3 linked regions of the Nothobranchius furzeri genome follow. The protein of the gene in region 1 interacts with the protein of each later gene in a biochemical or structural test. Links are inferred from orthologs where the notes say so. Each region holds a gene or a part of one and is shown on either strand. Other genes may lie near its edges.

Region 1 (3,560 bases):
GTTGGGCTACTTTATAAACAATGATCCTAATCAACACCTTAGTTCTATAGCAACATCTAATCAAAGCATCCCGACGGTTAGGAATGATGTTGGAATCTGGGATAACCTTGTTTCAGCTGGAACTTCATTTAACAGCAGGTTGATCTTTTTTTTTTATTGAAACGGCTGCACTGCTAGATTGCCCCTCCCCCCTCGTATTAAGATATGAACGTTTCTACAGCCATTTAATACGTGGTTTAACCTCTGTCTGTCTCTGAACACAGCCGAACTCTCACGAGCGTTGGCATGTTTTGTTATTAATCTGTTATAAATGCAAATAAAAGGATGTCTGTCTCACCCTGTTGGAAAAATATTCACAATAAAACTATTTAAAAACATTTTGTTCCATTTTATTGGTTTTTAAATTAATCTGATTATTAAATAAACTAAATTAAATAAGCATGTGAGTTATTTCATTATTCAGGCGGTATGTGTAGTCCAGACGTTTAATCCAGCTGTGCTGCTTGTTTTGTAGCTTGAGGATTACAGCCGTGTCAGATCTCATGTCATTCCACGTGGCTGTAGATGCTCGTGACTTTCGTCCCAACACAATGTACCTCATGAACTAAACTATGAAGGTGCATGGTTGAGCATATCATGTGCACTTAATCTAGTTTTACGACTTCAATTCAAATGTGATTACATCCTCCTGAAGACTGATGGTTTTACAGTTTATTGAATTACAACATAGCAAAACATGTAAAATAACATCTAGGTATATGAGCAGGAAGCAAAATGGAAAGTGAAAGGTTGATGCTCGCAGAAGCCAAGGAACAGGTCAATATCACAACTAGTGTCCGTATCTGCGAAAGAAAAAACGAAAATGTGTTTGAGTCAAGCATCAAACAATCCTCAAAATCATATATGCATTAATGGATCCGACTCACTTCTGAAACTCCCACTCCCTGTTGTCCAGGGGACACACCTGTCTGGTCTTCAGCCAACGGGAGATACAGTGGAAATGGAAGGCATGCTATGGAAGGTAAGGAAATGTTTAAACGACTGGATAGCAGTTTAACAAAGATGCAAAGACTGAAAAATAAGTGATCTGCACTTGTAGAGTGCCTTTCAGAGTCAAATGACCCATATCTATCATCCTACTGAAAGTTGCACCTTAGAAACTCACATTGCAGACACCCCAGGCCACAGTGCACTCTTCTGAGGTTGCAGAAGCTTGGTTGGCCTGGCACTCTATGCCTGATGAAGGATGAGGAATTGTGTAAGAGGGCTGCCAACAACTCACATGCAATCAAACACCCCTATGTGAACTTACACAGATCCATGATGTGGTTCCTACAGATAGCACAATTATCCACCACTATGTCCCAGGCCCACAGTGCAACAGCATTCCACTGGAACAAAAATCACATTCTGTTCATAGGAAGGTAACTTAAAATGAAGGACCTCATACCTGGAAATAAAAACCTTAATTCTATGGCTCATTGTAGGGTCTCTGACATTCAGTACTAATTCAAAGTTATCTTACAAATAAAGTTTTTCAACCTTTGATTAAAAAATGCTTCCATGGACACCTCAATCTAGAAAAGGAGTTAATTAAAATCTGATTAATAAAATCCTTCTCTATCAGTACCGTTACTTTTAAATTATGTAATGAATAGGAGAAAAAAAACCTTGTCATCAAAACTACTTAACATTTTATCCTGAGGAAATGTGACAGTCATTTAAATACTTTAAATCTTGGGAAATTTCGAGATGTACAGCTTAGCTGACTAAGCTAATTTAGCATGTAGACTAAGAGATTAAAGAGGTATTTGTCCATTTTTAAATCGTGCTGTTATTGTGTAACTACTGAGAGTTTATCATCGCTCTTATTTCTCTACAAGTTCTAGTTTAGACTTTAAGGCCATAAACAGAATAATGATTAATTATTTCTTGTAGCAGGCTAACAGCTAAACACCGATAACGGTGTTTAGCAAGCTAGCGTTAGCTAATGTTGGGCTAAACCTTTCGGCGTTGCTGACAAAGTGCACCGTTTAGTTTAGTCAACACAGACAAACTTTCAACTATCGTACCTTTTTCACTTCAAAGCGCTTCTTGCTTGCTCCACTATTTGTACCGCTTGGCGTGTCAACATCCATTGCTGCTGCCATTTTGAACTCTCCGGAAGCGTTTATCTAAGTTTTACCGGAAAATAGCGTCACTTCCTGTTCGACCAGATTAAGCAAATTTTCGAAAGAAAATATTATTTTCTTAATAATTTTTGAAAAAACAAAATCAGGTTGTATTTCTGAATTGTTACCGTTGACACTCTTAATATTTGAAGAAGTATTGGTTAAAAGGTCAGGTTCCACCGAGATTTGAACTCGGATCGCTGGATTCAGAGTCCAGAGTGCTAACCATTACACCATGGAACCCCTGCTTATTAACATTTCTCTGTAAAGAATTTGTTAAATCAATAGCACATGTATTGCTTTTATTCATTGCTTTTACACACCCTTAATTTCTCATGCAAAAAAAAAAAAAAAAAACTTCTCATGCTGTATAGAAAGGTGTATCTATCTGAGCTACACACTGCGTCATACTCATCACACTACTGTGTACCACACACTCCCCTAGCTACAACGCTGCAAATGAGCGAGAATGGGGAGTTGACGCCCTCCAGTGGCAAAAGACCAACATAGCAGACATAACCTGTAACATAATAGAAATGCGGTTCTTTATACTGGTTGTTCTTTGTATATAATAAACTTTTAATTCAATTACTTGCAATCTGTCGTTTTATTTGATTGACCTAAATAATGCAAATAAATATATCCATCAGAGTATTAAAACACCTGCGTACTCAATCCTTTAATTTGCGCTCTCTGCTGGAGAAATCGGGTTGCTGCAGGTACTACATTCATACAACTTAAAAATTACGATTTTTAAATTGGCGTTAAAAACACAGTTAGTATAAAATCGGAAAATACACAATAAAACAATTTAACTAATGAAACTTGATAAATGTATTTCAGTTATTCGTGTTAAACAAGATTAAATCAATAGGCTAAAGAAGCTAGCTATCAGCCCCACAAACATTCGATTATACGCCCACTGGCGGCCACAGGGCAAAACTACATCTACGAGAGGACTTCATTTGCTTCCCATTTGGAAGCATGGGCATGGCTGGCTTCGCTAAGATTTAGAGGGATTTTTATTCATTTTAAAAATGTAATTCTTAATAGGTGATATGAGATACATATATTTAGGTACTAATATTTTTATCAGCATGAGTTTGTCAAATCAAACCCGTCTGATGTAAAACTATTAGTTCAAGACCAATAAACACCCAACTACATCTAATAAACACACACAGGGACATTCGTGTAGAAATTATTCGTTATAAGGTACAAATTTTTCAAACATGAGAACTCAATCTTTTAGCATTATTATATTTTCCCTGGCTGTCGTGAGTATTTTTCGCCCTCTAGCGGCCGAAAACTGTTACTACAGGTAGCGTTCATAAAGCTAAACAAAGCATTACACTTCCTGTAGATTCCTTCAAAACAAAACATACCATT
Region 2 (3,952 bases), on another chromosome or scaffold:
TGTTAGCAGGCTAGTAGACTGTCCGCCCCCTGCGGTTGCTTCCTCTTTTAGTATCCAGTGATAATGAACAGTAAATTAGGCAGGTGGAGAGGAATTACACTGACTGAGCTGAAAACGCACGCACACGCACGCACGCACACACACAGCGCCCTCTCACCTCTTCCTTTCAGCTCGCATGGTCCTCGTTCACTCATCAGAATCAATATTAGCGAGCCGTTAGCTTCAGCTAAGCGCTTCCTTGTTTGTTCCTCCGCCGGGCTGCTGCTGTTCGCTTCGGGCTGCTTCATTCGCGTCCCATTGCTCCGGCGAGCTCCCAGGCCGGGCCAGCCTTAACGGACCCGTGCAGGGTCGAAATGTCTCGATAGCCGAACCGATCGATTAGGATACAGTGAAGGGCACAGTGATGCTGACTGAGTCGTGCCCATTCACTCCCCTCTCTGTCCCTCTGTCTGCAGTGTGAGACTGCCTCACTCTCCCCTCAGCACGTTCTGCTCCTCTTCCTCCCGCGAGGCTTCAAAAACACAAACACATACAAAAACACACACACAACTGCACACAACAACACGCAAAGGGTTCGTTCTCACTAACATCTACGCGCACGTGTAACCCTCCGCAAGAACTAGTCCCCGCGCATTAACATGAATATGAGCAAAACGCAGCGCGCGGCTTTTGTTCTCGTGTCTATTGTGCAGCGGTTGTTTGCGTGATGTGCGTGATCTGGATTATCATTAATGCCACTCAACCATGACATGTCTTTCACCAGCGCATTCATCATATCACGCAGGTGACCTTACGGTGTGCATCTTTACACCGGTCTGTAAGGAATAAAATAAAATAAACCTAGTGAATAAAATATGGGCAGGCAATATACCTTGGCCCCGCCTTTTGCGTGATGACATCACGGCTAGTCTACTGGCATATGTAGTTTTTTCTTAATGTATTTTGTTAAAAAAATAGATCCTGAATATAAATTCAATTAAAGTGTGCAATAATTATAGATATTAAATAACGAAATTATATTAAAAACAATAATAACTATGGCTTTTCTAACTATGACCCTTCTGCTATCAAGGTTGGCCTCAGGCTTGCCTATTAGTCACGTGACAGTCCTTACCAGTTTACCTCTCCAATATGGCGCAATTAGTGACGTACCAATCCATGCGACGTCTGCACCCTCCTCCCCACCCGGCCTCTCCTGCGGGCTAACAGCTAGGTTAGCTCGGTGTGATTAGTTGAGACGCACCGGCTCCATCCACATTACGGTGCAGTTCGGGCTCATTTGGCTCTGTTAACACTCAGGACACACGGGGAGTTCGCACACTAAAGGGACTCAAGAGTTTAGGCCTCCGATTATCGAACAAGTGAAGATGATTAAGCTGTTCTCCCTGAAGCAGCAGAAGAAAGACGAGGAATCTGCTGGAGGAAACAGAGCCGGAGCCGGGGGCAAAAAAGCCAGCGCGGCCCAGCTTCGAATACAGAAAGGTAGGCTGGTTTCCCACCTCACCACCCTCTCAGCACCCCTGCCAGTCTTTCCTGCTTCCCGACTGTCCGGTTACTGGCAAACTACCGGGGGACACAGCCGTTTAGTGCCCGGTAGCCGTGAACTCAGGCCAGCTAACTGGTAGCAGGCTATTCAGAAGCTAACAACGGCTAGCTGCTGCTGCTGTATTTGAAAACAAAACAGAGACGCTCCAACTCCGTAACGATTTGGGGCCACCTTATCAGAACACAATCGTTAGGATATAAGACACATGTTTATTACGCATACCTCATTAACAGCCCACACAAACACTGTTTTCTAGTCGGGTTTTACGCGTTGGTGGGAGCTTTGGACAAGCTAACTTGCTGTGTCAGCCCTCTGTCACAAACTTCAGGTGTGACTGACTGGTGGTCAGATAGCCCAGGTCAAAGTGTATGTCGTTCATTTAAAGTGGAGCTGAAACACCCCCCTGCCTGGTTCCTGTCCTTAAACCAGCTCACACTGAGCTCGTCATGTCAAACACCCGCAGGTGCCCCTGTCCCCCAGGTGTTAGACACCTAGTTGGTCCTGTCAGGTGGTGAGAAATTGAAATGGTTCCTCAACAAGAAATCATCTCACCAAACTGGCAGGTAGGGTTAACATCTGTCCATTATGACTGTTAAACTGCTTACACTTTTGATAACGCACTCAAATACACGCCTATGAGGGTGCTGTTCTGGCCTCAGGGTTTCAGGCACCTATATGATGCAGTAGCATGGCAACTGAGGCATTGTTTACAAACACTGTGAAAGGCTAGTTTTTGAAACTAGACCCCTAAGTCCCTGAAGAGTTTAAAAGTAGATGGCAAAGGCAAAATGGAGAACAAAGAAGAGACCCAAGGTGTGATATTACTGGACAGTGCGTTGCTTAGAAAGACGCATGAGCCGGGTTCAAAACACACACTGGAGCAGCACGTCAGGGTAATACTGCCGCCACGTGGTTCTTTGGAATGCACCATGGTGGCTTGACGAGATGAGAATATTGCGTAGTTCGTTCCGTGAAACCTGATTGTACTATTATTGCAACATTGGACTTTTGAATGAAGTTCATGACTTCTTGCAACAGAGGGGGATGCCATGGTCATGGATGAAATGTCCACTAAGCCCTGGTTGGCAATAATTTTCCAAATGCAAGTTAACATGGGGAGTCCCTGTCGTGTTTGCAAACAGTGTCAGCGGAGATGGCAAACTGGCGTGGTGCAGATATCCAGAAGATCCTGGCTGTTAGAATTGAAGATCTGATCACAGGACAGTTCCCCTTTTGGGGTGGCTCACAAAAAAAACTTAAGGACTGTGGCTTCAAAAGAGATAAAAACAAGTTATGTCCAAGTTAAAAGGATGTCCATGATGACACAGAGATCACCCAGCACCCCTGTTATACAGCAACCATGTGATCTTTTGTGAAAAACATGATTGCACCCCATTATGGCCACAGGCTGACCACTTATGAATGATCAAATGCTCCCTTTGCGGCACTTTTTGCAAGTGGAGCATTTATTTATTTATTTATTGGAACAGGCTATAGAAGTAGTTAAAGCATTTACCCATACTGTCTCCATCCCAGCCTATATCATTAGCTCCTTTGATGGGACCCCAAGGCATTGTTTGGATATTTGCTGATGTCAACCTCCTGCTGCCACATTCTACTCAACTAAAGTCCTTGTATTAAATGAGCCAGCCTATCGTCCAACATGGTTATGTCTATTCCCGAGTCTGAGCTATCTCAGCTGGCATCTCTGGATGAGAAGAAGCAGCGGTTCTACTCAGTCCTCCTTGAATGTCTGAACTCCTCACTGTGTAAATTTCATTTTGGCAGCCTGTTATGATCTTGTTTTGTCATTCTTTACCACGACCATATGTGAGGGTTGGAATGTAAATCAACTAGAGATTCTTGTTTGTTTAATCAGTCGAAAGTTGTTTTGTACATCATCTTACTGACACCTCAGTCATTTCTACACAACACGTTCATAGAGGTCTCTGGAGTTCAGCCATGTTCTTCAGCTGCCCTCTCAGACGTCTGACTTGGTAATGCCCAAAAACACACAAGTTTAGGTCACCCTGTAATTCCTGTGTTGTCTCTGAAGTTGGAACTCTGGTTTTTAAGATATCATGTTAAATAAACGGCTGTCCAAACCAGTCACGTGCATGTGGTCTGTTTTTGTGTTCAAAGTGTTCTGTTGGTGCTGATCCAGTTAATTATAATTAAAATGATCTGTTTGTGTTTCAGACATCAATGAGTTGAATTTGCCAAAGACGTGTGAGATCAGCTTTCCAGATGATGATGACCTCCTCAACTTCAGACTCATCATCTCACCAGACGAGGTGTGTGTGTGTGTGTGTGTGTGTGTGTGTGTGTGTGTGTGTGTGTGTGTGTGTGTGTGTGTGTGCGTGTGTGTGTGTGTGAGATAAAGATTAGGTCTGTGGTTTGTTGTCA
Region 3 (4,221 bases), on another chromosome or scaffold:
CTCCGCCAAATACCGAAGAACTGGAACAATGTCCGTCTGCTACTAGATTCTTTGCCTGTTTTGCCCGCCTTCATCTCCCGGCAACGGACAACAACTTCTGGGATCAAATGCGCTGCTTCGTGTCTACCGCAGATGTAGAAAATCACCGGGAGAGTTTCTCCCTTCATAAAGGAGCTTCTTTCAGACATTAGGAGAGCTGTTTTTGTGGTAGCAGTCTCTCCTCCATGCTGGTCTGTTTGCTGCTGGGTATTTTTGGTTTATTTAAACTTGGTAACTTGAACTTAATGTTGGTAAAGCTACTGTTAGCATTTTCGCTAACAGCTTCTTGCGATAGGATAAGCTGTTACGATTTGGTTTAGAGTTCATCTTTTTTGTGGCGTAGATCTCCCTTTTATTACATTTAGAGTGTCGTGGGTTTTCGGTTTAGTTTAAAATTTCACCTTGAGTTTGGTTTAACCACCCAGTTTAGAGTTTGGACCTTTGGAGATTCTTATTTTGGTCCAGAACCCAGTAATCTTTGCCCTGCGGGACATCCCTAGTTATTTGTACTTTTGTTTTAATTCCCCACAGGCAGAATTAGTTTTATTATTCCCAACCTGTGGATGGAAAGATTTATGGTTTTTTGTTGTTGTTGTAAATAAACCTGATCATCATTTTAACTTTTAAATCCTGTGTTATTGTCCCTTCCTTTTTGCACACGAGCCAAACTCCCCAGGAAGGGTCGTAACACCACTCGCCTCACGCACATAAGTGACCAAAACAAAGCAGCATGGAGACACCGTCTCCAACCACCCCTCAGGCAGCAGCCTGCACTCCCAAGTCCTACATCACCATTCTTTGACTTGCTCTTTAAAACACTTTTGCAGAATTTCATGCTTTTACTACAAAATGTGCCTTTTCAGTTTCTCAAGTTCATATATTAGGGAAAAAAAGACAACAGCTTGTGTAAGTAACAGTTACAAATTAAATGCTGCAATAAACATACAGCAGGGTTCATTTATGTGAACATATCTGTTAAAGCAAGCACTGTAACATCTGCGGTTTAAAGATATGGAGAGGTATTTGTCAGAGCTGCAAAGTTTTATATTCATTTATACATTCCTACAACAACTTGTGGTTGAAGTTCCTGCAAAACAATGTATTTAACACTAGGGCTGCACAATATTAGGAAAACCTACGATGCACAATTACAGTGATTATTTTTGCGATGATTATATGACTTGCAATACATAAATAGTAACTCAAGAACAAAAAAAATGTATCAAAAACCAAATCATAAAAATAAAATAAAGACTCAGGGGATCCCAGGAAAAGAATAGTCGGCAGAAAGAGCAGAACACAGCTAACTCTGGTGTTTGCTAGCCATCCAAATGAAGTGCTGTCTACCTAGGTGGCGGTATCTAACCTATAAGAACTCACCCAATTGGCCAAACAGGTGAAGGACTATTTGATCAGTCAAAAACGTAATGCTTCAGTTTGACTGACAATATGCTTTATTATGTGTAGAAAAAAATTAAGATGATCCTTTATTGCAGTTTTTTTCTGTTCTTTGCAATATGAGTATTGTGTATGCTGATAGTGTGATGACGATACATTTGCGATGCACAGTGCAGCCCTATTTGCAACACTTTTCCTCTTTTATCTTCAGTACAAATAAAATTCAACTTCAGACATGACATCATTGTGCAACACAAAATGTTGTTTTATAGACATACTTCCAGAAAATAAGGACAAGCTGTTTAGTTTAGCAAACACATAATAACTACAAATATTAAAAATACAACACAAAATGGACAAAAACGAAACTAAATCAAATTAACTCAGTCCACAGCCCAAGTAACCAATCTACATTTGCATCACACACAAAAGCACAGACAGCAAAACACGGTGCTTGAACAGAAATTAAGCCTGTTATTTAACATCTCATGTAAGGAAGCCTATTATATAAATACACACCATGGCCTGTTCCAGTGCCCCATTTGCCATTCCATATATGGCAACACTGACTCTAGGGTTCAGTTTTGGCAACAATCGAGCAGCTGTCATTCAGCGAATTTATACGTCGTCATACATAATTTTACAAGGTAAACTAAAACGATAAATGTGACTGATAAATTAGTGATCAAGAACAAAATCCAGGCAAGGACTACACGTTACAACCGTTAGCAGGAAAGCTAACCTCCCACGAAGTAACAGTAACAACTTCTTACTCCAGAGTCCTTATCAAAGTTTCAGGATTAATATGAAAAATGTCAGACGAGCAGGATGTAATAACCCAAATGAAAGCTTAATTGGGTAGTTACGTTAATGTTAGCCAAGCACAAACCGGGCCACCGTTGGTCAGCTCGCCTTTGTCTTTGAATTATTTTTTAAATGAACAAAACGCTCAACGGCGTAGCTAGTTCACCTCTAAAACACCACACACATGTACTTTATCAAAACGGTTCGAAAAGAGGAAGAAAAATCGAATCTGAATCATGTCTTAAACTTAATAAATATAAACACTCACCTTCTGAATTCTTTTCAACGCCATTGCTTCGGCGGCTATGCTAGGTAGCCTGTCAGCTAACAGTTAGCACCTTAGACATACAATTTGGATTCTGTAGCCGCGTTCTATCAAACCTCACTTCAGTTACAGGTATGAAATTACGTCTAACATCCAGTAAATTTCGGCTTTTTCGCTCTATGACAAATATTTCCCCACGACCTATTAATTTTCGGTTCGTCAGAGAGCTACAAAACAACTTAGATATTTAGCTTTCTATTCCTCTCTCTTCTCGGTGCCGAGAAAACAGTTACTATCGCGAGCTTTCGTTTAAAAACTACAATGGCACTGTCGGTAGTGTCACGATTTCTATTTTAAGGGTCATTTTATTGACTACAGAACAGAGGCTTTAAAAATATACATATTTACTACTCAAGTTTAGATACTAGGGGGTTTAAAGACTTCTGTTGAAGTTGAAGGATCAATTCAAGCATGATACTTGGGTAGAAGTAAAAAGTACAGGTTTCAAAAGTGCTTAGGCTTATCGAAAAAGCGTATAAAAATACTAAGATTGACAAATATGGGATACACTGGGCCCCCAATTCCCTCTTCAGTTCAGTAAAACATTAATGCATTTTAGTGACATGAAAATAGCTACTTACTGCATGTGGGTGATAGATGAATGATTACTTATTTTCTAACCCCAATCAAATTCACTTTATCCAGATGGGCAATTTCGCAATTTTGTCTTTCTGTATTTTGTTTTAACAATGGCAAGCCAAAATTTAGTAGGAGTGATGAGGCTGTTGTTAAAGAGCAAGTCACCCCAAATCAACCTTTTTTTCCCTGATAAACTATATAAATGCGTGTCTAATCATGCTGCAGACACATGCAGTCAATAGTTTTGCACTTTAGTGCAATTTAGTTAAAATTTAAATTTTCTGCCTAAAACTGTCAGTGTTGTGCTGTTGTCGGGTAAAAACTCTGCACTGCATTTGAATTTTAATTAAATTCAGTTCAAAAATACGTTATTAATCCCAGAGGGAAATTGATTGCTGTAGTTGCTCAGAATCTGACACCGCTATTGGCTAAGAGGTACCGTAGGACGTTAGCTGGTACCATATCCAATCCAATCCAATCCAATTTTATTTATAAAGCGCATTCACAAGGCATTACAACCAAACAAGGCGCTGTACACTAAAAATGTTGGTTAATTAAACAGGCGTTATATAAACATGTCGAACACAGATAAAAGATAAAAAGGAAATACAACAAAATTCCCAAAAATAACAGCTAAAAATCAATAAGACACAGGGTGAAGTAAAAATAGGAAAAAACATTTTACAAAGAACCTCAATAATACGGAAGTCGATAATTGTGGAGTCAGTTTATAAACAGTGCAGATGTCAGTGAGGTTCATAATTATGTTGTATAAGCTAGGTTGAAGTAGTGAGTTTTCAGGCGTGATTTAAAAATGCTAGCTGTTGGTGCTAGCCTCACTAGCAGTGGTAATGCGTTCCACAGCTTCGGTGCACAGACAGAGAAAGCCCTCTCTCCACGGCTTTTTAAACGTGCATTGGGAACAGCTAGGAGGAGCTTATCTTCAGACCTGAGAGCACGCGGCGGGTTGTAGTAATGGACCAGTTCACACAGATATGGAGGAGCTTGATGGTTCAAGGATTTGTAAGTGAGAAGCATAATTTTGAAGTTTATCCTGAACTGCACGGGCAACCAGT

Evidence for each region. The genes of interacting proteins can lie anywhere in the genome.
Region 2: the proteins of rbx1 (region 1) and ube2m form a complex in vitro, tested with the Homo sapiens proteins (15 studies listed by BioGRID and IntAct, with this or other methods). The link is inferred for Nothobranchius furzeri from reciprocal best matches to the Homo sapiens genes RBX1 and UBE2M.
Region 3: the proteins of rbx1 (region 1) and ube2d4 form a complex in vitro, tested with the Homo sapiens proteins (2 studies listed by BioGRID). The link is inferred for Nothobranchius furzeri from reciprocal best matches to the Homo sapiens genes RBX1 and UBE2D4.

Annotation. Positions count from the first base shown.
Region 1 is NC_091752.1:65,786,283-65,789,842, forward strand, and holds rbx1 (E3 ubiquitin-protein ligase RBX1), read right to left. Parts: upstream 2,209-3,560; 5' UTR 2,151-2,208; coding exon 2,073-2,150; intron 1,392-2,072; coding exon 1,313-1,391; intron 1,237-1,312; coding exon 1,166-1,236; intron 1,013-1,165; coding exon 927-1,012; intron 843-926; coding exon 830-842; 3' UTR 697-829; downstream 1-696. UniProt on the Homo sapiens protein: E3 ubiquitin ligase component of multiple cullin-RING-based E3 ubiquitin-protein ligase (CRLs) complexes which mediate the ubiquitination and subsequent proteasomal degradation of target proteins, including proteins involved in cell cycle progression, signal transduction, transcription and transcription-coupled nucleotide excision repair.
Region 2 is NC_091745.1:29,824,603-29,828,554, forward strand, and holds the start of ube2m (NEDD8-conjugating enzyme Ubc12), read left to right. Parts: upstream 1-1,152; 5' UTR 1,153-1,367; coding exon 1,368-1,482; intron 1,483-3,745; coding exon 3,746-3,840; intron 3,841-3,952.
Region 3 is NC_091757.1:38,230,430-38,234,650, reverse strand, and holds the start of ube2d4 (ubiquitin-conjugating enzyme E2 D4), read right to left. Parts: upstream 2,801-4,221; 5' UTR 2,534-2,800; coding exon 2,510-2,533; intron 1-2,509. UniProt on the Homo sapiens protein: Accepts ubiquitin from the E1 complex and catalyzes its covalent attachment to other proteins. In vitro able to promote polyubiquitination using all 7 ubiquitin Lys residues, but may prefer 'Lys-11' and 'Lys-48'-linked polyubiquitination.